Struthio camelus: one gene and its partners. The protein of the gene in region 3 interacts with the protein of the main gene of each other region in a biochemical or structural test. Links are inferred from orthologs where the notes say so. Each region holds a gene or a part of one and is shown on either strand. Other genes may lie near its edges.

Evidence for each region.
Region 1: the proteins of MAGI1 (region 3) and NET1 form a complex in vitro, tested with the Homo sapiens proteins (3 studies listed by BioGRID and IntAct, with this or other methods). The link is inferred for Struthio camelus from reciprocal best matches to the Homo sapiens genes MAGI1 and NET1.
Region 2: the proteins of MAGI1 (region 3) and FCHSD2 form a complex in vitro, tested with the Homo sapiens proteins (2 studies listed by BioGRID and IntAct, with this or other methods). The link is inferred for Struthio camelus from reciprocal best matches to the Homo sapiens genes MAGI1 and FCHSD2.

The regions. Positions count from the first base shown.
Region 1 is NC_090942.1:2,273,200-2,281,180, forward strand, and holds the start of NET1 (neuroepithelial cell-transforming gene 1 protein), read right to left. Parts: upstream 3,037-7,981; 5' UTR 2,910-3,036; coding exon 2,773-2,909; intron 1-2,772. UniProt on the Homo sapiens protein: Acts as a guanine nucleotide exchange factor (GEF) for RhoA GTPase. May be involved in activation of the SAPK/JNK pathway Stimulates genotoxic stress-induced RHOB activity in breast cancer cells leading to their cell death.
Region 2 is NC_090942.1:222,626,076-222,633,261, forward strand, and holds the start of FCHSD2 (F-BAR and double SH3 domains protein 2), read right to left. Parts: upstream 3,058-7,186; 5' UTR 2,919-3,057; coding exon 2,805-2,918; intron 873-2,804; coding exon 775-872; intron 1-774. UniProt on the Homo sapiens protein: Adapter protein that plays a role in endocytosis via clathrin-coated pits. Contributes to the internalization of cell surface receptors, such as integrin ITGB1 and transferrin receptor.
Region 3 is NC_090955.1:13,480,318-13,488,056, forward strand, and holds the start of MAGI1 (membrane-associated guanylate kinase, WW and PDZ domain-containing protein 1), read right to left. Parts: upstream 3,061-7,739; 5' UTR 2,767-3,060; coding exon 2,478-2,766; intron 1-2,477. UniProt on the Homo sapiens protein: Plays a role in coupling actin fibers to cell junctions in endothelial cells, via its interaction with AMOTL2 and CDH5. May regulate acid-induced ASIC3 currents by modulating its expression at the cell surface.

The DNA of each region.
Region 1 (7,981 bases), on a different chromosome or scaffold from region 3:
CAAAGGAAAAGGGGGCAACGGGCACAAGTTGTAACATGGAAAATTCTTATTAGATAAGTAAGAAGTTTTTCAAAATAAGTGTGGTCAAACTCTGGAACAGGGACCCAGAGAGATGGAAAAATCTGCATCCTTGGAGGTATCTGAAGCTCGCCTCGACAAGGCCGTGAGCAAACCGACCTAACTTTGAAGTTGCTTTGAGCAAGGGTTGGACTACAGATCTCCAGAAGTCCCTCACTAATTAAACTTTTCTACTATTCTACAAACAAATCTTGAGTCAGTGACTTCTTGAACTGTTCTACCTACATCACAAGATCACATCTAGGTGCTGAGCTGGCATCAATTTGCCTGTGAGAAAGTCTCCGGATGAAGGTTTAATACATACATGTCTTATCCGTGTCAACTTCTTTCAGTTTTATCGTAATTTTGCCCGGCCTCTCCACACAGACAAGCCTCACAAAGGAATGCACGACTATCCTACAAACAGCCAACATGTTTCATCACCTCACCAAGCCACTGAAGCCTTTAATTATACTATGCTTTTCAACTGCATTAATTATGGAACTACAAGATGATACTGCAGTACGCTTCAATGAAAACATTTGTTTTTAAAGCTCATTAAAACGTTCTGCCATCCAGAACGCACCATGCTTACTAAAGCCAGCCATTATGAAAGCCAAGCTCATTTACGTTTAACTTGCTTTGATTTAGGCCGCCAAATAAAGAACACCCATTCCAGCCTCTGGGGAATTTCACCAGGTCTCAAAACAAGGGACTGCCCAAGTCCCCTTTCTCCCACCCATTTCCAGGGCACAGATGAGGCTGGAGAAGAGGCAGGAGCATCTCTGGCCAACATAACCCAGGTAGTGAAAAGCAGCTTCCAGGCAGGGCTGTAAAGGGTTGCAATCCCCCAGTCAGTACAAAGAACTATGGCAGTAAAGAAAGGACCCCAATTGCATCTCGGGGCGAACTGCAGCTTGCACACAGCATTTGGAGGTACAGACCGGGGTTCAGCGAGACACAGCCAGAGCCACCTTTGCCAGAACTTGAGGGTTTAGAATTTTTTGGTACGCTACAGATCGCTTCACTTAGAGGACCTGAAGGCAGACTGTAGTCGCACAGAGGAAACAGAACAGAGGAATGTATATTTCTGTGTAAGGGGGAACGGTGATAAGTCAGAAGTTTTATAGATATGCTCTCTTCTCTTGTCCTAAGCCAGCTGACAACCACTATCCTAATTTAACAGCTTAGGGCATCCACATATCCAAGTCCACCATCTCCAGAGCTGGGAGTGTGCTTCCCTCACAATGCAATGCACTTTCCACACCACCAGCATGATTGCAGAAGTCATTTCCTAACCCCAAGGGCAACAGAAAACACAAGCCACCTCTGATCAACCTGGGTTGGTCTAGATGTTAGTCAGCAGGAGATGGGTCATCCAGGGGTCAACTGCAGATAGGGCAGGATCTGCTTATAAACACAACCAGGTATTGTTATTGGGGTCAACACAAACTGAGCTTCTGGTTAACTCAAGAAGTGACAGTGTCCTTCACAGGGTGGTCTTGGGAAAGGTCTCAAAGTCCAACAAACACATCAGAATAACTATAACACATGGCACACCAAGGCAATTAAACAGAGCAAAAGCCAGGGCAGACCCTGGAGCCAAAACAGGTCTTCCCACCTCAAGGGAATAAGCTGATCAGGCATTCCAGCCCAAAGAGATCCTGAGGACCAAGCAGGGGTAGCTGGCAATGGGCAACCCAGGGGGGAAACCTGCCCATTCTGGCCCTTCCTGCCAGGCAGCCTCAGGCTCCCAGTTTTACTGACATCTGCTCCCCACTCCGACCCACCAGCTGAGGCCCCTAGGGATCAGCACCTGATACGGGTGACAAGGGGAGCCCAATCCCCTCAGACATGTGGCAGCACAATAAGAGCGATTGGAGAGGGGAGAGGACACCCTAGGCCCCAATCACACTGATGCCCACCCTAGGAAGCAGCAAGGGCCCTCTCCTCTTTCTGCCAAACAGGTGGGGGCTGCAGGCAGCCCAGGGGATACCCCCATGAGCAAGGTGGGAGGAGGGAAGTCTTTGCATGAAAGCCTCAGGGTAGTTTTGCACCCAGGGATGGAGAGAGGAATGGCCACCTTCCCCATTATGGGATGGGGCATAGAGGGTGATCCCCTACAGCCTGCAGATCACCCCTCTCCTCTATACATACACTTACAGGACAGGAACAGGCAAGGGATTCCACACACCCTTTATGGGGCTGACAGGGATCCCCTTAAACCACAAACAAGTTCCCCTTATAGGATGGCAAGGGGTGACTTACAGCCTAGAGAGTACCCCCTTATAAGACAGGAGGGGGGAAGAAGTCCCCTGCAGGCTAGAGGGTGTCCCCTTATACAATAGGGAGGCAGGGGGCCCTTCCTTATAAAATAGGAGGGGAATAGGTCCCCTATAGTCAGCAGAGGGAAGCACCCCTTTAAAAGGCAGGAGGATGAAGGGTCCCCTATGGCCTGCAAGGGTGGGTCTCTCTTATAAGAGAAATGGGTAAGTGGTCCCCTACAGCCTGGAGGGGGGGGGTCCCCTCTTATAAGATAGGGGGAAGGCACAGTCCCTTCTATAAGGCAGGCCGGCAAGGAGCTCCCCCTCCTTTAAACGGCAGGAGGGAGCAGGGTCCCCTCTTCTGAGATACACGAGGGACACAGGGAGCACCGCGGCCATCGGCGGGGCTCCAGCCCCTGACGCGGCGGCGGGGAGGGATCGCGGCTCCTACCGGCTGCAGGAGGCGGCCGAGGCGGCCCCGCCGGGGGTGCTGTCCGCCGGCGGCGGCGAGCGGCTGGCGCGGGCCCCAGCACTGACCCTGCCCCGTCTCCGCCGAGGGGGCTTCTGGCCCGCGGGCTCGGCCTCCATGAGGACACGACACGTCGCGCCGAGAGCGGGGAAGGGAGCGGGCACCGGCCGCACCGCTCGGCGGATAATGGCGGCGGCGGCAACAGCAGCGAAAGCAGCGACCGGGGGGTTTGAAAATGGCGGCGGCGGCGGCGGCGGCCAATCAGCGCCGCGGGAGGGGCGAGTTGCTAGGAGACGCGGGGGGCGGGACAAGCGAGGGGGGCGCGGCTGTGAGGCGGGAGGGGCGGCTGCTGGGCGGCCCCGGCAGAGCGCAGCGCCCCCTGGTGCCCCGCGCTGCAGCGGCGCCTGAGGAGGACCCCGGCGGGGGGGAAGGGAAACTGAGGCACGGAGCCGTCGTGCCCGGCGGCGGCCCGGCTCTCCCCGGCCTCGCCCCCCCGTCTCCTCCTGCCCCCCACCCTTCCCCTCAGCCTTTTCTCCTCAGCGAACACGGAGCCGGCGCCCTCGTCCCCTCAACGCCACCGAAGGGTGGCCTTCCCCCCCCCCCCCGGCCCCCGGCCTCAAATCTCAAAAATGTACCTCAGAAATCGCCTCGAGTCACGAAAAAGTACCTCAGAAATGGGCTCGAAGCACGTACGAGAGGGTCGGACGCGGGGTGAGCCGGGGCCAGGGCCCCTCAGGGAGCTGGGCTGCCCCCCTTTCCCTTCTGCCTTCCACAGGGGTTTCCCCCTCTCCCTGGAAGAAACGGGAGGTGCCCTGAACAGTCACCGAGCTGAAGAAAACACAAAAAGTGGGGATTTGTATCGTAGGGCTCAGGAAGGAAGGGGAAGGGGGGGGGGTCTCCGCTCTCGGACACGGGGAGAGGCGGCCGGGGCGGGGGATTCGTGCGTGGTGGCCTTTCGGCGTGGCGGCGCGCAGCCGCCGCGTAAACGGTTTACGAGGGGCTCTTAAATTCTCACCCCACTGGGGAAAAGCAGATGCTTTGGCGAGGCGGATGTTCGCTAGCAAGCCCCCCACCCCCGCAAAAAAAAACCAAAAAACAAAAAAATCCCCCCAAAACGGCCTTAAAAAGCCGTCAGGATCCCTCCCGCTCCGCTTTGGGTTAAGTGGGACTTTGAGCGAGGCGTTCAGACACGCTCAGCTGTTAGTTGGAAACGTGGCCCCGTTGGGCAAAATCTCAGTTTTCCTCCGTTTCAGCCTTCTCCCCCTGCGGTTAGTGGCTGTTGGCAGGGGACAGGGCTTCTCCCCTCATGCGGTGGTGGCAGCCCCAAAGTTTATAACGATTCGACTGGTCCTAGGAGAGAGGGAGGGTCATGACTTACCCTCGTTTAGAAATTGGGAGTGCCCGCTCTGGAGCGCAAGTCTGCCTGTAGACTAGACAGTTTTGGCAGAAAATCTCCCTTTATCGGTGCTGGCACCCCAGGCAGCCGTGCTGGAACGGCCCTTTACAGTTTATCATATTCGTTTCAGCGCAGGTTGGTCTCAACTTCTGTACAGCAGTTGGATGAAATGCTTTGAAACCCATAAAAAATCCTGCATATGTACAAGGCATTTCACTGACTTGGCTGTATTTTAGTAATAAATCAGAAATGGATTTTTCAGAGATATTAAAAAAAAAAAAAGCCTAACTTTTGAAGTAGAACCTGCAGCTTGGTTCAGAAAAAGTAGATATCCTCCCTTTAAGCTGAACTACAGGAGGCTGCCAAAGGGTTAAACGTAACCATCTGCTAGACAAAGACTTGAAGGCTTTAGAAAGAAGATGTACTTCTATTTTGAAATGTACCATTGGGATGGGAAGAAGAGCAAGCGTACCCAATACACCAGGATTGCTCTCAGCAGAGTATTTTGCTATGCCAGAATACTCAGACTTAGCACTGATATTATGCCAAAGCTAGGAGAATTAATTCTGCTTGTACTATTCCAATGTGGACTTAACGTGACAAAACTGTGAAGTTTCTATTTTTGTTCAAACCTAAACGGTTCAGCGAATTGCGTTGCCCCGCTCGGTATTTCATTTATATTGGCTTATAGTCACTGATAGGCAATCGTACGCTTCGTGTCCACCAGCCAAATTGTTCCCTTCTTCACAGTCCTCTACAGCTTTGTCCTCTGCCCTGGAGTCCTCCCCTGCTCCACATCAGTCATGCCACACCACATACCAGTCACAGAGGCCTGTTTCACGTACATCACGTTGAACACATGATTAGCGGGACCCTGGTTTCTGTAGCAGCCCTCCACAAACTGGTGTGTCCTCTTGGTGTTGAAGAGCTCCTGGTCTTTCAGGACCTCCTATTTTTTGCATTCTGCGATGGCCGCAGTCACGTCCCTGGGCGCTGTTTTCCCCCACTACAGTAGGCAGCAGACCATGGACTTATCAGATGACTTTTAAATCCAGGTGAAGAATTCCCTGGTGATCTATGGCATGGAAAAGGGCTTGTGGCAGGCCTTCTCTGCTGAGACTATAGGTGCGTAGGTCATGAAGGTGAAGCATATCTAGATATGGGGACACCAGGGACAGGGTCGCCAGGTTGGTCTGCCTTGGTGAAGAACCTCTCATTGTGAGCCACAGGTCTCCTATTGCCAATATTTAGGAAATGTGAGAAGCCAGTCCAGCTAAGGGACCCTTTTCAGGTCTCTTGGGAAGGAGGTTGTGTTCCTTCTTCCGTTAGATTTCCACCGGTTTCTGGTATTTCTCCAGTGACTGTGGGCTCTGGGGCAAGGTGGATGCTCTGGACAGCTACTTCCTCAGTCCACTCGCACTAATGAATGATACAGAGGAGCTTATTCATTTGCTTGGTTATAGGAACGATGCCTTGTGGTTGGACCTCATGTATGAGGCTGTACTGAATTGTCTGTCTGCATACCAGCAGCCTGCCTCCTAGAGATAGAAATGCATAACCCTTGCGTAGGACTAGGAAAGAAGAAAACCAAGAAGCTCTATGAAAGAAAACTGTTCACAGTTTCAATTCCCACCCAAGAGGCAGTAGCAGCAGCAATAATTTCATCAGAGGAGGCAGAAGCTGCACAAGAAAAACCCTCCTCATGGAGTCTCCAGCAGTGACGTGACACTAAAGAGATCTGCCTCCAACACATTCCTCCCTTGCTCCACTGTACGGCAGTACGTATCAGACTGGAGTCATCATGCCCGAGGGAAGCCTCGACTTATTATCACAGTTGCTTGGGCAGCTGAGGCCAAGCACTGGGCCAGTAGGGTACATTACTCTGCTAATCAGCATGTGAGCAAGAGCCTTCAGCTGGACGCTCTAGCCTCACCCAATGTCGTCTTCTCCTGGCTTACACATGAGACTTACCAGCCCTGTGTAGCCCTGATAACTGCTGGTTGTGCAGTTTATGCACACCAGAGCTGGAATTTTAATAAGCATAAGTGGATTTAGGATGCTATGTAAAGATATCGTCTCACACACAGACATGAAGGTCAACGTTGGTTGGCACTACCAGGCTTCCTTCTGGGCAGGACATTGTGGCAGAAGCTCAGCCTTGCTTCGGGCCAGATCCTGACTTTACATCAAGTCCTCAGTAGTGTCCGAGGCTCTTTACACCACTGGAAACGGACTCCGGCAGTCCAGTGTGTATCAAAGACAAGTAATAGCTAAAGACTATGGACACACAGTATCCATGATAACTCATGAGTGGTGCACAGCTAGAATTACTCAGGGAATTGCTCAGAGGCTTCCTGCTGATGTTGCCGCATCTACCTGCTAGCAAATGCTGACAGAGGTTGCAAAATAGTTTCACTGAATTTTCAGAAGCTCATAATGCTCCAGGAGAAATTGTAAGTTTGATCTTTGCTCCGTGCTCCATCTTTGGGGCCAGAAAGGACTTTATTCAAAGGAGGGCTTTTGCCTGCTAAGCTTTCTGCTCCCAGCTCTCCGCAACGAGTAGTGATGACTGTATTGACTTAAATGGATAGCCTGTCTAGTGAGGACTATGGCCTTTTGGAAAGATTTTTTGGATTAGGCATGGGATTAGTAACACATGCATTAAGGACTTGTGGTTCTCAAACAAGCAGACTTAATTAGGCAAAGATTAAAGCACGCTTCATTGACACCGATCTCTTTTAGGATTCAAAGTGTCGAGTTATTTTGCAGAATTTTCTACACTTGGCAATGTTGCTCCTTTAAGCAGTTTCACTACTTTGAAAGTAGTCGTCTGGAGGATTCGAGGCAGCTTAGACGTTTATGGTGCCATAAAACCTTAGGCCATAAATTGCACATGATGAGGGTGCATGTCACCATCAGTACTTCAAGTCATTAAAACAAAAAAAAAAAGCTGTCTCATATTTTCATCTTTAAAATCCTAGAAAATAAGTGCTGTAAAACTACATGAAAATTGCCCTTATGTTCCAGTTAGTCAGTAAGCATTAGGCTAGATAATACATGTGGTTCGCAGCCACAACAGTAACTCTGCCAAGTGACACAGTCAACTTGTGAAAGGTTTCAGAGCTCTTCCATAAGGCTTATGAGATATCCAAGCTGCCTAAGCTGTCGTCGTAAGCCTCGAGTGATGCATTTCCCAACTGTTGCATACCGTGCAGAATTAATTCCTTTCAGGGGGAAAAAAAAAAAAAAGCAAATTAGTCTGGATAATCCAAGTCATTCTGTTCTTCCAGTCTCACTCCTTGCACCTTCTACAGATATTACTTTTAGGCCTCACTGGTGTTCTGTCTTAGCCAGAGAGCTAGCCAATGCAAAAAAGCCAATTTTAATAATAGTGCACCCCTTACACATATTTTTGCAGTGCTTTCCATCTTTCAGAAGGTGAAAGAAAAAGAATTTTGCTTTTACATCCTCAAACCAATTGTTTATATAGGCTTAACGAGAGCATTTGTCATTGTTGGTGAGTTAGGACCATTAGAAAAGCCCCATGAACTGTAAGTAATCAGAATCATCTATCATTCGTCAGCTTTGTCTGTGGCAACGGGAAGGGCTCTTGCTCAAAACTTCTCCTTTTCAGAGCTCTGTACAACAGGGGAACAGGTGTCTTCAACCACATTGCAAGGTCCTTTTGACGCTGCTGCAAATTTGATTTCAGCAGCTCCCACCCAATCCTTTTCCGTAAAAGAGATAGCATATGTGTAGAAATGAGAAGACCTCACATGGCCAAGAACAAATACC
Region 2 (7,186 bases), on a different chromosome or scaffold from region 3:
TTTGTCAAAGCGGCCATATTTGCATTTTATATACAAACACAAAGCAAGAAATCTCATTTAACTAATTAACAGGTGGAATAAATGGTGACAAAAGGAAGGACAGCAGTGGATTCACTGATGAACGCTTTACAGAATAGCCATTCTAGAAACCGACCCTCTCCAAATGGAATGATTAAGCCTCCATATAATTCCAGGTACTCCCTATCTCCGTGAGTATTTTGTTAAAAGTAAACTTTTATGTTAAAGGGAAGCAATGGCATTAGTTAAAATGAATAATAAAAAAACACAGTTTACGTTATCTAGATTCTCCCCATTGATCTTAGCCTGAAAAGAGTTTAGGTTATAAACGTAAGAACCTTCTTTTAAGTTTCTGGGAAAAAATGAAATGCATTTAAAAGTGCTATTCAAAGCCATCTCTAACAAGACATAGTTCATCAGTGGTTTTAAAATATTTTCAATAATTTTAGCAGCCTCTTTAAACTGGTAAATCAAATAAATTATTATATAGAGAAATACTGCTGAAAAGACTAATACTTTTTGCATGTTGTTTGCGACTTTTTTTTTTTAAACATTTCCCCCATTGAAGAGAAGAAAAAATGGTTTGCATTGTGTTAGCTCCAGTTATAATTTCCAGCTGTGTCAAAACTTTAACAGCCTAAAAGCAGGAAATCCAAAGAGGAAATTCCATCGTCAGTTCCTGACGTTTTGTAACTCAAAAGTTCTTCCAAAGCTAGATCTTAAAGGAATTTTTGGTTGCATTTTCTGTAACCTTACCTGATATCTTCAAGTAGCTCACATTCTGCCTGATGCTTGGCCTGAAGTTTTGTCATCTGCTCAACCTGAATGTTTTTTAGCTCTTGTGTAACTTTCACCTACAAAAAAAAAAAAAAACACAGACCATATATATTTTCTGTAGGGGTTAGGTCAAATTTCAAAAAGAAAACAAAATTTATTTCTCTCATCAATTTTGAATTTGCATATTTCAGTGGAAAATTAGAACACAGAATTAATAATGCAACTTAACCCTATGATTTCAACAAATGCTGTAAGCCCAGCAGGCCTTCATTTCATACGTCACAAATCTCAAACTTATGCCCTAACATTAACAAAAATGTTTTGTTTTATTTTGTTTTTCCAAAGAGCTATGAAAATAATTGGGGGAGGGAACAAGCTTGAAAAAGGAAAACGGGTAACAGGGAGAAAACTGATGGTGTGTACACTTAGCACTTCAGCATAGCTTACACAATTGTGGAATGTGTCTTGATTAAGTCATCCTACAACTACTATAATTAAAGACAGTTTAAACAAAGCTATTTCTTAATCGTGCATCAGAGCCCTTCTACATAAGGTACCTCATAAGGCTGGCTTTAGCTTTTGAGTATTACGTAATTTTCCTTTGGCCCTCACAATCCCGAGGATTTCAATAATTTGAGAACCCACCCGCTAATTTGTAAAAGGGCAAAAGACCAGGATTTGACTTAGGCAAGGGAACCTGTATCCTCTCCCCTCCTTTTATTTTTTTTCTTTTTTTAAAAACAAGCAGTCTGGGCATTTAAGCCCTCTAGTGAGCACAAGGAGTCCAAGTATCAGCCTAAAAAAAAAAAAAAAAAAAAAAAAAAAAAGGATCACCAGCATATCAAAAGATGTTATGCGTTCATGAGGACCGAAATGCCTAACAGTTGCTGTAACGGGGGAAGAAAAAAGAAAAACGCAGAGAAGAGGTAGACACAAATCTCCCTCCTCTTACCAGCCAGGCAAAAAAAATCTTCCAGGTCACATTGGCTAGGAAAAGCCTTCTCAAATTTAAGGCTGAGTCAAAAAAAGAAAAAAAAAAAAGACACCACCACCACCAACAACCAGGACCCTTTAATCACAGCACTAAAGACATTTTTCACATTAGTGCCTACGAGATACTGAAAGTCACACGTCCAGGCCTGACTCTGATTAAGCAGGAAAAAAAAAAATCTATTTTTAACATTAACTTTCAACGTTTTTACTTTCATCTGCACATGAAAAAAAAAAAATCTATTTTAAATAAATAAACCCACGCAAGATAACCCATGCAATGGAAATGACCGCAAATGAAATAATGTGGGTAAAGAATGACACCCACGTAACATAAATAAGCTGCCAAACGCAAACTAAAATAGCAAGAAGAACCCTTTAACAAAAGCAGAGTCCACCCGCAAAACAAGGGGGTGAGAGGCAGCAATGAGACACGGAGGGCTCTTGGCTGCAGCTGGCTGCCCGGGGTTACTGGGGAGCTCAGGGAACGACAAGGGGGATTTCTGTTTACGCTCCCTTGCGCGGTCTTCCTCAAGTCTTCCTCTATAAATCTCAACACCACGCACGAAGCCTTAAACATCCACACTGAACCACGACGGTCTGAGCGCAAAGCATTTCGGCGCACGCCTCCAAGCAGCGGACAACACCCCGACGAACGTAACGCGCTAATGATCTCAAAACCAGCAAACTCCCCCCCCCGCCCCGCGATCCTTATTAGTGAGCAACCTCTAAACCTTTTCCGAGGCTCGCTTTACCACCTCGAGCTCCCCCGTTCTCCCCATATTCCAGCCCTTGCATACAGCTCTCAAAATAACTAATCAATACATCTCCGTACATCAGTGCTCACGCTCGAGACCCCACCATAGCTCAAGTCTTCCATGAACAACCTGCCTGCACAGACAAGCCGCACCGGCAACAACCTTTTTCCAAATCTACCTCACATCCTCCCGCACCAGCGGCCGTAAGGCGAAGCACCCCGTATTCCTGTGGGCCGCAAGGACACCAAAAAGCCTCCCCACCTCACGCAGCGTTTGCAACCAGCATGTGCAGATTGTTCCCGTCACACCTGTGTTACACAGCCGTGGCTGTCCCTCTTTGCTCACGCTCCTGATCCACCCAGGGACAACCTGCATCCTTACAGCAACTCCAGACGCGACCTTCCACTCCAGCACAACCAGCAGCAGTTGCTTTTAACCCACCCAGACACAACAAAGTCCTCTAAACGCAGCCAGTACCACCCCACAACCAACACAGGCTGTCCTAAAACCCTAAGTACAGCCTAGCCCTTTGCGATCATTGACCCCCCTTCTAACCCTACCACCCCACGGCTCTCCTTTAGTGCGGCCACTGCCACCCCCACCGTACTCCACCTAACCAGCCCCCTGCCCTCCATCTCCTCCACCTTCACCTTCCCCTCCAGCCCATGCCCTATTCCATCTCCAGGCTTCTCCATCCAGCCACTGCCTCCCCCACCTGCACAGCCCCTCTCCTGCCAACACCGTGCCCACCCACTTCGAAATCCCCCCCCCCCAAAGCCCCTTTTCCCATTGTCCCTAAGGCTGCCCCAGCCCCAATTAATCACTTGTTCCCTCTAACGCTTGCTCCTCATCTTCTCTCCTGCCTCCAGGCTCCACCACCCCGGTTTACCCAGCACATCCACACCTCTGCCTGCCCCATCCAGCCACTGCTGCCCCCCACAACCCCCCTCCTTACGCCCCATCCTGCCCCCAGACCTCGCTGCCCCTTGGCCAGGAGTTGCCCGAATCCTACCCTCTCCAAACACAGCCCCACATCCCAACCCTCCACCTCATCCAAACGCAGACCCATCTCCATGGAGCCACTGTCTCCCTCTTCTTCCCCCCCCCCCGCCCCGACTCCCAACACCCTGCCCAGGCTTCCCCAAATACAGCCCCCTCCAGCATCCCCCCTCCCCACACCCTGCCCAGGCTTCTCCCAAATACAGCCTCCCCCCCCCCCCCATTATCTCCCATGCCCTGCCCCAACCCCCCCCCATACCCCACCCCCAGGCTCCCCCTGGGTCCCCCCTCCCCATGCCCTGCCCCAGCCCCCCATTACCCCCCCATACCCTGCCCCAGCCCCCCCAATACCTCCCCTTCCCCACACCCTGCCCCAGCCCCCCCATAGCCCACCCCAGGCCCCCCCGGGTCCTCCCTCCCCATGCACTGCCCCAGCTCCCTATACCCCACCCCCAGGCCCCACTCAGGTCCCCCCTCCCCACACCCTACCCCAGCCCCCCATTACCCCCCCATACCCTGCCCCAGCCCCTCCACCACCCCCCCACCCTACCCCAGCCCATTACCTCCCCCTCCCCACACCCTGCCCCAGCCCCCCCACACTGCACCCCCAGGTCCCCCTGCCCCATACCGTGCCCCAGCCCCCATTACCCCCCCCACAGCCTAACCTAGCCCATTACCTCCCCCTCCCCACACCCTACCCCAGCCCCCCCCACCTCCCACACCCTGCCCCAGCCCTCTATTATCCCCCCAAACCCTGCCCCAGCTCCCCCCCACCTCCCCTTCCCCACACCCTGCCCCAGTCCCCCATTACCCCCCCACACCCTACCCCAGCCCCACCTCCCCCTCCCCATACCCTACCCCAGTCCCCCATTCCCCCCCACACACCCTGCCCCAGCCCCCCTATACCCCACCCCCAGGCCCCCCCACCTCCCCCTCCCCATACCCTACCCCAGCCCTCCATTACCCCCCCACACCCTGCCCCAGCCCCCCTATACCCCACCCCCAGGCCCCCCCACCTCCCCCTCCCCATACCCTACCCCAGTCCCCCATTACCCCCCCACACCCTACCCCAGCCCCACCTCCCCCTCCCCACACCCTACCCCAGCCCTCCATTACCCCCCACACCCTACCCCAGCCCCCCTATACCCCACCCCCAGGCCCCCCCACCTCCCCTTCCCCACACCCTACCCCAGTCCACTACCTCCCCCTCCCCATACCCTACCCCAGCCCTCCATTACCCCCCCACACCCTACCCCACCTCCCCCTCCCCATACCCTACCCCAGCCCTCCATTACCCCCCCACACCCTACCCCACCTCCCCCTCCCCATACCCTACCCCAGCCCTCCATTACCCCCCCACACCCTACCCCACCTCCCCCTCCCCATACCCTACCCCAGCCCTCCATTACCCCCCCACACCCTACCCCACCTCCCCCTCCCCATACCCTACCCCAGCCCCACCTCCCCCTCCCCATACCCTACCCCACCCCTAGGCCCCCCCCCCCCGCCCGGGGAGGCCTCACCTTCCTCGGCGGCGGCTGCATGGTGCTGCGCTGGGTCTCCACATCAATTCTGCCCCCGCGGCAGCAGGATGCGGCCCCGGCTGCAGCAGCAGCAGGAGGAGGAGGAGGAGGAAGAGGAGGCGGAGAGGAGCCCGTGTGCCTGCCGGCGCGGCGGCGGAGGCCGCTTCCTCACGGGCACCGCGTCCCCCGCCGGGCAGCCAGGAGGCGGGCGGCTCGGCTGGGCTGGCGGAGAAAGGGGAGGAGGAGTGGAGGGGGGGGGGGGGAACGAGAGGGGAGGGGAAAAAAAAGAGAGAAAAAAAGAAAAAAAAAAAGAGAGAGAAGCCGGGAGGCGAACAGCGGCTCGGCAGCGCCCCGCTGAGGAGGACCGCGGCCATGCTGTGATCCTCCGAGCTGCCTAGAAGGACGAACCATAGAGTTCCGGGCGAGGAGAGAACGGAGGAGCCGGCTGGCCACGCCCCCCCCGCCGCCCTCCCCGCCTGCTCCCGCGCCGCCCGCTAGGGGGCGCCATAAGGAGGGCGGCGGCGGCGGGCGGTGCTGGGCGCGCGCGGTGCGCTGGGAGGCGGCTGGTGCATCGCAGCGGTCGGGCAGGGGGGCGCTGGGCTGCGGGCGCGTTGCACGGGCAGGCCGCAGGCGTGTTGCACAGGGAAGCTGCCGCTGGGCTGCGAGGTCGCCTGGCCTTGCTCAGCCGAGCTTCATTAGAGCCGCTGGAAGGACGGCTTGGAAATAATCCTTTTTAGCAGAAATTCCCAGGGCGGTTCGCAGAGCGCCGGGCGAGGCTCCTAATTGCGTTTCCCCGAGCGCGGCGGCGTTGCTGCACCTTATTATCGTTGAGCTGCTTTACTCCCACTCACCGGAAATGACCTCTGGCCTCCTAACAGCTTTAACCGTCTTTAACACTTTTTTTTTTTTTTTTAACTAAACGTAACTTGCATTCTCCTTTTTCCTCCGGCTATTAGGTTATTTAGTGCGGCTAATTAGTACAACTCGCTCTCGCCGGGGAAACCGCCTCAAAACGATGAGTGAGACGCGGGGCATCGATATACGCTGGTAACGTACGGCGCTCAGCCCCAATTCGTTTTGACTGCTGAATCTGAATATCCCAATTTAAGCTTGTTTTTTTCTTCCTTAAATTGCATGCGGTTAGAAAGTTCCCGCAGTCCCGGCCGGACACTGCAACTACAATAATTAATCCTTTCGCGGTCCAGCTTGGTGTCCGCCGCTGTCGGGTGCATCCCGCTGAGAAACGCCGCTGCACCTGACGTTTTCCAGCCGTGCTGGGTGCAGGGACATCGCCGCAGGGTGGCAGCAGTTGCAATGGGCACAGCGTAGCCCAAGCGGAGGGGAAAAATAGAGAGTTTTTGGCACTTTTTTGATTGCAGCATCGTTTCAAAGGGAGAGGCAGCTGAAGGACCCATATAGTTTGGTCGATAGTCATTGGTCTGCCCGAGAGCCAGCCGCTTCCGAGCGGTCCGATGTTCCTCGGAGCGCTCCCGCGGCACCGCGCGTCTGGGTAGGTGGATGCGGAGAGCAGGGAGAGCCGCGTGGTCCCTGCCCTTAAGGAGTATTTCTGGGATGGAGGAAAAGCAGCCACCCCACGCCTGCATCCGTTCCTCGCCGCGCCCTGAGCAATGCCCGCTTTGCGCTTGGGAACAGGAACACGAGGACCACCGCGAAAAGTGCCAGCGCGCGTCCGCCCAAATAGGTTTGCCGGCACAGCGGGTTTGGCTAAAAACCTGGAAAACCGAACTGTGATCCTTCTCGACAGAAGGCAGGCCCTGGGGAGCGTTTTGGGGGCGGCGGGGCAGGGTTTCCGAGTCTGACGCAGAGTGCGATGAGTTATGCCAGGCCTCAGCCTGCAGCGGGAGGGGGCGGCCGCAGCCGCACCGCGTGGCTCGGCCCGCCGCAAGGCCAGTGGAGAGCGTGCGGGGAACGCCTGCCGCCCCCCGGGAAGGGCGCGTTTCACATTGGGCTCCAGCGTACGGGAAATAAAAGGCTTGACAGCTGCAGGAGATCAATAGAGAAAGAAGGAAAGAATGAAGCAAAGAGAAAAATGGAGAGGAAAAAAAGGAAAAGGAAAAAAGAGAGAAGGAGAGAGAGAGAAAAGGGGAGAGACAAAAAGGA
Region 3 (7,739 bases):
TTCAGCATCAGTTCATTATGGACTAAGAACTGGGAAGAGGAAGAGACTCATACAGTTAAAATCGCGTTTACAATCTGATCTTCACACTCCTTCACTGTCTGCTCTAGTGCCACACATCTCCTGTTGCATGACAGTTGCCATGCCTATAATGAGATTTTTAATCAACATAATGTATTTTAATTAAAACTCTCTCCTTTCCTACACATATGATCCTGATCCACGAGGGAGTTCCCCACTCCGTGCAGAACACCATGCAGATGCTACGCTATCATTAGGAGAGGCACAAGGAATGGCTTTCTAAACCACAAAAATATTCAGTGATTAAAAAAAAAATCCTATTATATATTCCACTCTAATAAAGCATTTAAAAAAAAAAAAAAAAGGAAAATATGATCTCATAATAGCCAGGGGCTTGGTTCTCACTCCGGGAGGAGGAAGGTCCAAGGTTCAAGTTCCTGCCCTGGCTCCAGGCAGGGCTTTGAACCTTTTTCTCCCAAGTCCCAGGTGAACCCAGCTACTATGAGAAAAAAACAGCTCTCTGACTCATTTTGACCAGACACTGCATCCTAGAGCCGAGACATATTCACCTCTAAATTCTGTCATTTCTGGTATAGTCCCATGACGAGTTTCCATTTGGACTAAGTAAAGTTTTCAACAAAAAAAAAAGTTTAATCACAAATTGCTCGTCTCTTACCCACTTTCCTTTGCCCACAACACTGATCCCATTGCATCAACAGAAGCTGCACGCTAACCCTTCTGCTAAAACAATCAGCATGTAAAAATCTGCATAATTTCCTCATACTTCTCTTTATTTTACTCTCTCGCTCCCCTCCCGGGCAATGAAAATCAGCAAATCAGTTTCACTCCCCGGTTTCCAGTGTAGCAGAGAAAATGCAGCAGGGAAAATAGGCATTTGCTTAAAGAAAACAGTTTTCATTGGCGTCCAGCACTGCTTGTTGGAATATTTCTGCCAACTTAGGGTTTCAACACTTAACACTAACAGTAATTTTGATATATAAGATTTGGGGCAATTCTGAGCTGCTATCATCCCTGGAAGAAGAAAGCAGAGGGCAGAGCAGGATTACAGGGCACAAGTGCCATGCCGAGCAGGACACACCATCGCGGTGATTTACTCCAACGGTGGGAGTTTGAGCAACGGCCGTGAAACAAGTGCATCCAGAGCAGCTCGTAAATCAGGCTGGCGGACAAGGCTTCAGAGGACCCTCCTGCCAACCTACCATAACAACAAGGGCCTATCAACAAAGTTAAAAGATCTTTTAGCTGCTGCATCTCCAGCAACTGACCAGGTTGAAAACATGCCCTGTAGTTTGGGATGTGTATGTGTCTGGATAATAATAAACTCTCTCCTAAAGAACCTCCCAAACGCTCCTAGGAAAACTTCGCTTCCTTCCTGCAGTTATCGATGACCCTGGGGTGCGCTGCTCCGCCACCCGCACCTACAGGTGTTGCAGCACATTCCTGTTTATCCTGCCCAGCCAAATAACCTCAGCAGCTGTCGCAACAGTAACAGTTTCCTGGCACTAAATGCAAGTCCTGCCCTGGAAACTACAAACCTATCAGCCAGGCCTCTTATGCTAACCTGTTAAACAACTGCTGCCTGTACACAGGCATGAAGTGGGACTTAAAAAAAAAAAAAAAAAAACTCACATGGGAAGGCTCTTCCTATCCTTTTCTACAGCTAAATCCGAAAGCAATCCACCTCCTCCCGCCGCCGCTCTGCGGGGTGAGAGCCCAGATGTGTCCTCACCTACGGAAGAGCCAGCCCAAGCCAACTTTCAGCCCGACTTCAGAGAAGCATCCCACGGGCACTGGTGGCCGCTCTGCCCGTCCCCCCGCGGCGATGCGGCCGCCAGCCCGCAACCGCGCTCCACGTGAGCCAACACACGTCGCATGCAGCCGCTGCCGGGGGAGCAGCATCCTCCCGCACAGCCCTGCGGGTCCGGGCCGGGCACGGACGTGCCTCGCTCGCCCCACGGAGCGAGCCCCCGGCCTCGGCCGCTTCCGCTCGGCATCGCAGGACCGCGGGCTGGAGGCTCCCGCGCGCTTTGGAGAAAGTCTCACGGCATTGCTCGCTGCAGGCCAGGAAACTGCAGGCTGATTCGGTACGATAACGTGACTGTATGCAAGTACATGTGTGTATATATATATATATTTATATACACACACACACACTATATATGTGCGTGCATATATACACACACACACACCCCCTCGCACACTACCGCAGTGTGCACGTACCCAGACGCTTGCACACCACCGACACAAGCAGCACCCAGGGGCGCTCCCCTTTCGCGGTCGCCCTAATGCTCGCCCCTCGCCTCGGTACCCAAAACTTCCTGGCCAAGAACAAAGTTGGCCGCGGCGGAGCGCGGGCCGAGTCGAGCCGAGCCGAGCCGCGGCAGCCCCCCCTTCCCCCCCCCCCCGCCGCCCGGTGCCCCCCGGTGCCCCCCTCGCACCTTGTCTGACGGCTTTGACGGCGATGGGGTCCTTGCAGCTGCGGATCACTTCCAGCACGTCGTAGCGCGGCAGCCCCGAGACGCGGACCCCCTGCACCTCCAGCAGCAGCTCGCCCTCGCTCAGCGCCGCCTCGCCGCCCCCCGCCGCCACCGCGCCCGCGTAGGGGAACTCGCCGTGCTCCGCGCCGCCGAGCAGGGCGAAGCCCAGCTGCCCGCCGGGCCCGCGGCTCAGCGAGCACTGCCGCACCCGGCTGGCCCAGTGGTTCTTCTTCTGGACGACTCGCGACATGCTGAGCGCGGCCCTCCGCCGGCCCCGGCGCACGGTAAGCAGGTGCGCAGCGGGGCGCCCAGCCGCTGGCTCATAGACCGCGCCGTGCCGCGCCGTGCCCCGCCGCCGCTCAAGCCATCACCGCCCGCGCCGCGCCCCGCTCCGGCCGCGCGCGGCCCGCATGGCTCCGCGCCCGCGGAGGGCGCGCGCCTGCCTTCGCCTGCCCCCTAGTCCCTTTTCCTTTTTTTTTTTTTTCCCCTCGTGTTAAAAAAAAAGAAAAAAAAACTAACTCAATAAATCCGCCCTCCGCTGGCTCCTCCTACCCCTCGCTTTTGTTTTGTTTGCTGTTGTCCCCCCCTCGCCACCACCCTTGCCCGCCTCCTCTGCGCGGGCGCTGCGCGGCGCCTTTAAGGCGATACAAAGACTCCGGTTGTTTTGTTACATTTCGCTTTACCCCGCTGCACCGCGCTCGGGGCCGCCGGCGCAGGCGCCTTCCGCACACTCCTCCCCGGCCCGCCCCGGCCCCGGCCCCGGCCCCGGCCCCGGCCCCGGCCGCGAGGGCCGTAGTTCAGGTTGTCTCACTCTTCCCGGTTTTAAAGGCCCTGCTTGCACTCGCAGACAACTTTTTTCTTTTCTTTTTTTTTCCTCCTCCCCAAAAAGGAGCGGCGCCAAGCGCGCACCTTGGATTGATTCTGTTTTTAAAATGTCAGCAGGAACAATTCCTTGCTAAGGACGGGCTCAGTTGCGAGTATGCTTCCCCCCTCGCACGCCCCCTGCTTCACTGAGAGTTCCTGAAAGCCCATTGAGAAGTTCAGCCTCTGTAATCTCACGGAGCAGCTCATGTTTCGGGGAAGATTGGCAAGGGGGAGGAGAGGGCTCCTTCACTCTCCTGGGAGCGTTTCCAGAGCTGGCCAAGTTGCAAACCTCTAAAAATCACTGCTCACCTGCACTTGCAGTAGGGGGTCGTTAGAGGATGGGACAAAATGAGGCAGAAGTCCTGAGGAAAACCTTACACAAGTCTATAATTAAAAGTGGTATCAAAGCGCTTGTGCAAGGCTGAATTAAAGCCAACACAGATCTTTAGTTCTCCACTTTTCAATTTCTGAGGTGCATGCGTTTTAATAATATCCTTACTTATTTCCCCAGTATAATTATGTCGAACTGGGACAGACCTATACTGAGGTCCTTGCGGTGGAGAAGACATGCATCAATTTATTTGCCCTTGGCCACAACTCTTCAAAGTTGCCTAGAACTTTAATGCAAAACTCAAACAGAAAATAAGTAAGTGTGCTTGCACCAGCTGGCTCTTCCAGGTCATGCTCCCTGCTTCCAAAACCTGAAAGCCAGGCCTCATTCTGAGCAGTCTTATGCATGACTGAACCCCTTCTAGCAAGAAATTCAGTTGTCAGATGTATGCGTGCCCTATTTTACTGCTGATCAGGACTGAGAAGTGACACAGGGAAACAAAAAGCTTCATCTTCAGCTCCTGCATAGCTGTAACACACTCTCCGCTGGCACAGTCTGGCGGATTTTTGCTGCTAACTGTATTGCTATCTCATATCACATCTCTCCAGCTACACATTTACTAAAATGATCCGCGATGCAGAAGGCTCAGGGGAGTCGGCATCCAATAGCTGGGGATGGAGCTCAGCACAACGTGTCCTGGTGCTAGCCAACTACTTTGCCGGCTAGCCAGACCTGTTTCACAGACTACAGAAGAGGGATGACTCTGATAGGTGACTCCAATAGCTTCCTTGCCCGTACTTCTGCCCTACATGAAGTAATGATGCCAGCCCTTTCATCATACCCAGTGTCCTCCCCATCACTCCTTTCCTCCAGCCAAGACCCAGCGTATGGCTATTTTGTAAAATCCCCATCATCCTAGGGGATGCCACTAGGGTGCCTAGGGCATGAAGAGCAGTGTCTGGCCTGAACAGTATAGCCACCTTTAAACCAGAAAACTGGAACACTTTGTCCAATGTCATGCAGCACACTAATGAAAAAGTCGGGTATATCCCCAGTTCCCAGGCTTGTGAATGTACTGGGTCCTCGTGCACCTCTTTCCAGGTCCGTAGGGGAAGTATATGGGATCTTCAGCCCTTCAGAAAGCTGCAGCGAGTAGCCCCTTCCAGGAAGTATCGCAGAGCCTGCCTTCCTGGCTGCTAAGGGCAAATGCAGAAATGGACTCCTGAAACGCAAATAACCTACTACGTGTAGCCTTTGTTTCCTTCCATCTTTTTAACATTTCCATTTATACTTCCTTTTTAATATTTCTATTTGGAATTCAATTACTTACATTTCCTGCTCAACAAAGCCGTGCCGATGCTCTTCGTCCGAGCTGCAATTGCCTGGCGTAACTGCCCTACGTCTGCTTTCACTGCCGCTGTTACCAACTACCCAACTTGTCACTTTTAGGATCATGACATGCTTTTTATGCTGCCTTGGCTAGCAAACAGTGGATCAGTGATCAGGTTAAATCCCCCAGGGAGTTAATGCTCAGGAGACCCACTAGCCGTGAGCAGCGTGGTTAGAAGGGAACGATTTCCATTTCATCTGCATGCCAGCTGATGGAAGTCGTGTCACACGTCTTAGGATCACAGCGCAGGGAGGCTCTTGTTCACAGCTGAGAACTGGGTGTGACGTATTTTCATCACTTTCATTTTGTGTGATGTGTTATGTGACAGCCCTTCTAAGCGAAGATTCATCTGGGAGCCATGTGAGCATCACATGAGTTGTGGCTGCCCCGAATAGATCTTACAGAACTACTCATGGAAAAGTTATTTGAAAAACACTATTTAGAAAAACAGTTTGCCAATAAGGTTTATGACATGACAGATTTCTGAGGGACATTTCTGTTTGCCTACAAACGCTACGACTCTGTAATGCAACTGTGATCTGTTCTCGTCTTCATCCTAATGCTGTACTCTCATGTCTTCGCCACTCTGCTCCCAAAATTGCTCTTACTGGTAATTAAGAAAACTCACAAGCCTCAGCTAGAACTTTCTCTTAATTTTAAGATTTTCCCTTCAATTTTGCTCTGTTCATTCTCTGTTCAGCTGACTTCCTCCCACTTTACCTACTAGTTGCATCCAGTAAAGACCAGTCGGTCAAGCTATTAGGAAAGTCAGGATAGCCCTAGATCCTAGAAGGTGGTATTGCTTGTAACAGCTCAAACATAACCAAGACGACTTTTTCGTTGTCCTCATTCTTGACCCTGCAGTTGCCCAGAACGTTATTGCTGCAGCAAGATGATTTCAGGACATACCTGCTCAAACTGCTTCTATTAAAGGAAACCCTTGGTCAGCTGTTAATAGTGCTGAGCCAGTGACCCGCAGCAGTGTTGGTTCTGCCCCGAAGAGTCCCTTACACCAGCCAGTTAGATAATCAGGTCATTAGGCTGTACAAAACCCTGCCTTTGCATTTCAGCTCTGAAGCATGTCCTTTCTCTCAGGGGACTATAGTCATGCCTTTGCAGGGGAATAGATTTAATGATCTAACAGACCTTCTTCATCTCTAATTACTGCCATTCCAATAATAATACCCTCCTTTTTGCAAGGGTCTCTAAGTACTTTAGGAACATTAGTTAACCAAGCTTCATAGTGTGCCAGGGGAACAGCTGAACATTAACACAGGGCAAGGAGAACCTCAAACATGTCTCCTTTCTGAGGAGGGCTTGCTTCAGGCATCCTACCTCACCTGTACCGCCTGCAGGACCAGCTCAGAGGACAGCATGCTGTTCATCAGCTCGTAGCCCACCACAATGCCAGAAAAGCTGATTTAGGCTGGCTCAGAGCTTTATGCAGAGCCCGATTCCCTTGCTCCTTCATCTGTAGAGTTGCTGAAGTTTGGTGACTCAGCTGTCCGTTGCCTCTAATCTGTCAGGGAGCAGGATGTTGCTTTCTTCTTCCTCCAGAAAGTGTCCTTCATGCTTGGGGTCCCACTATAAATATACAACAACTAGAGTGGTTTTTTTCAGAGAGAATATTGACCTTCAATTGACCAAGGTCTTATAAGCGTCTCAAATTCCACACTGTGCCCTGGATTTTAAAATGGGTCAAAACTCCCCCAAGCATCAAATCATTCTCTCTGATTTCATACCAAAACCAGTTTTACTTGTTTTGGGATGGAAAACCATGTCTAGTTACTGAGAACTTTATGGGTTCATCCACCAGAGAGTTTAAAGAGAAACTGGAGTGACTAAGGCTACAAACTGTAAGTACAGATGGTTTAATACAGCAAAATTAATGTTTAATTTCCAGCTAAAATCCAAACCCTCAATGCTGTGACATCATAGGCCTTGAAGCTTTGAGAGCCTGACCCTGTGGATCCTGGGGTAAAAAGAGACTTTAAACAAGGTCTAGCAATTGTACCAGTGAGGTTTCCTGTTGATACACTCACACTACTAGTATCTATCAATACGAAAATCCTATACTGCTCTATTTCCCAAGTAGGAATCATTGTTCATAGTAGTCTCACCTGTCTTTTATCAGAGGAGGATTTTCGGTGTGGTCAGAGATTTTTGTACCAAGCTGATCCTCTGATAACAAGAGAGAATCTGCCTGGCTCTGCTTTGGATCTATCTCTAGAAAACATTTCGATAGAAGATGACCCAACTCCTGCCTTGGCAAAGCCTAGCTATAGGTTGACCCCTGGTATTTGCCGACAACCTCCCAGGCATCAGGACACGAGCAGTTCTGGTTAGAGCTAAAGACAAGCCAGCATGGACAGGTACTGCCTGAGGTCTTACACAGAGCTGGGTCAGCTAGCACTGTCCTGAAACGCAGCTCCTCGCGTAGGATGATCTCCAGCCTCCTGCCCCTGAAGTGGCTACAGCGTTATTTCATGGCACATTCTCCTGGAGATAGACAGAGTAAATCTGTGACCACAGGATCCTCTGAAGAAAAAGGCAACTCGCCCCTTACTTGGATTCACTGTGTCACCTTCCTCTACAATTTATTTCAATAATATCACACACAGTGGAATATAAAGCTGAA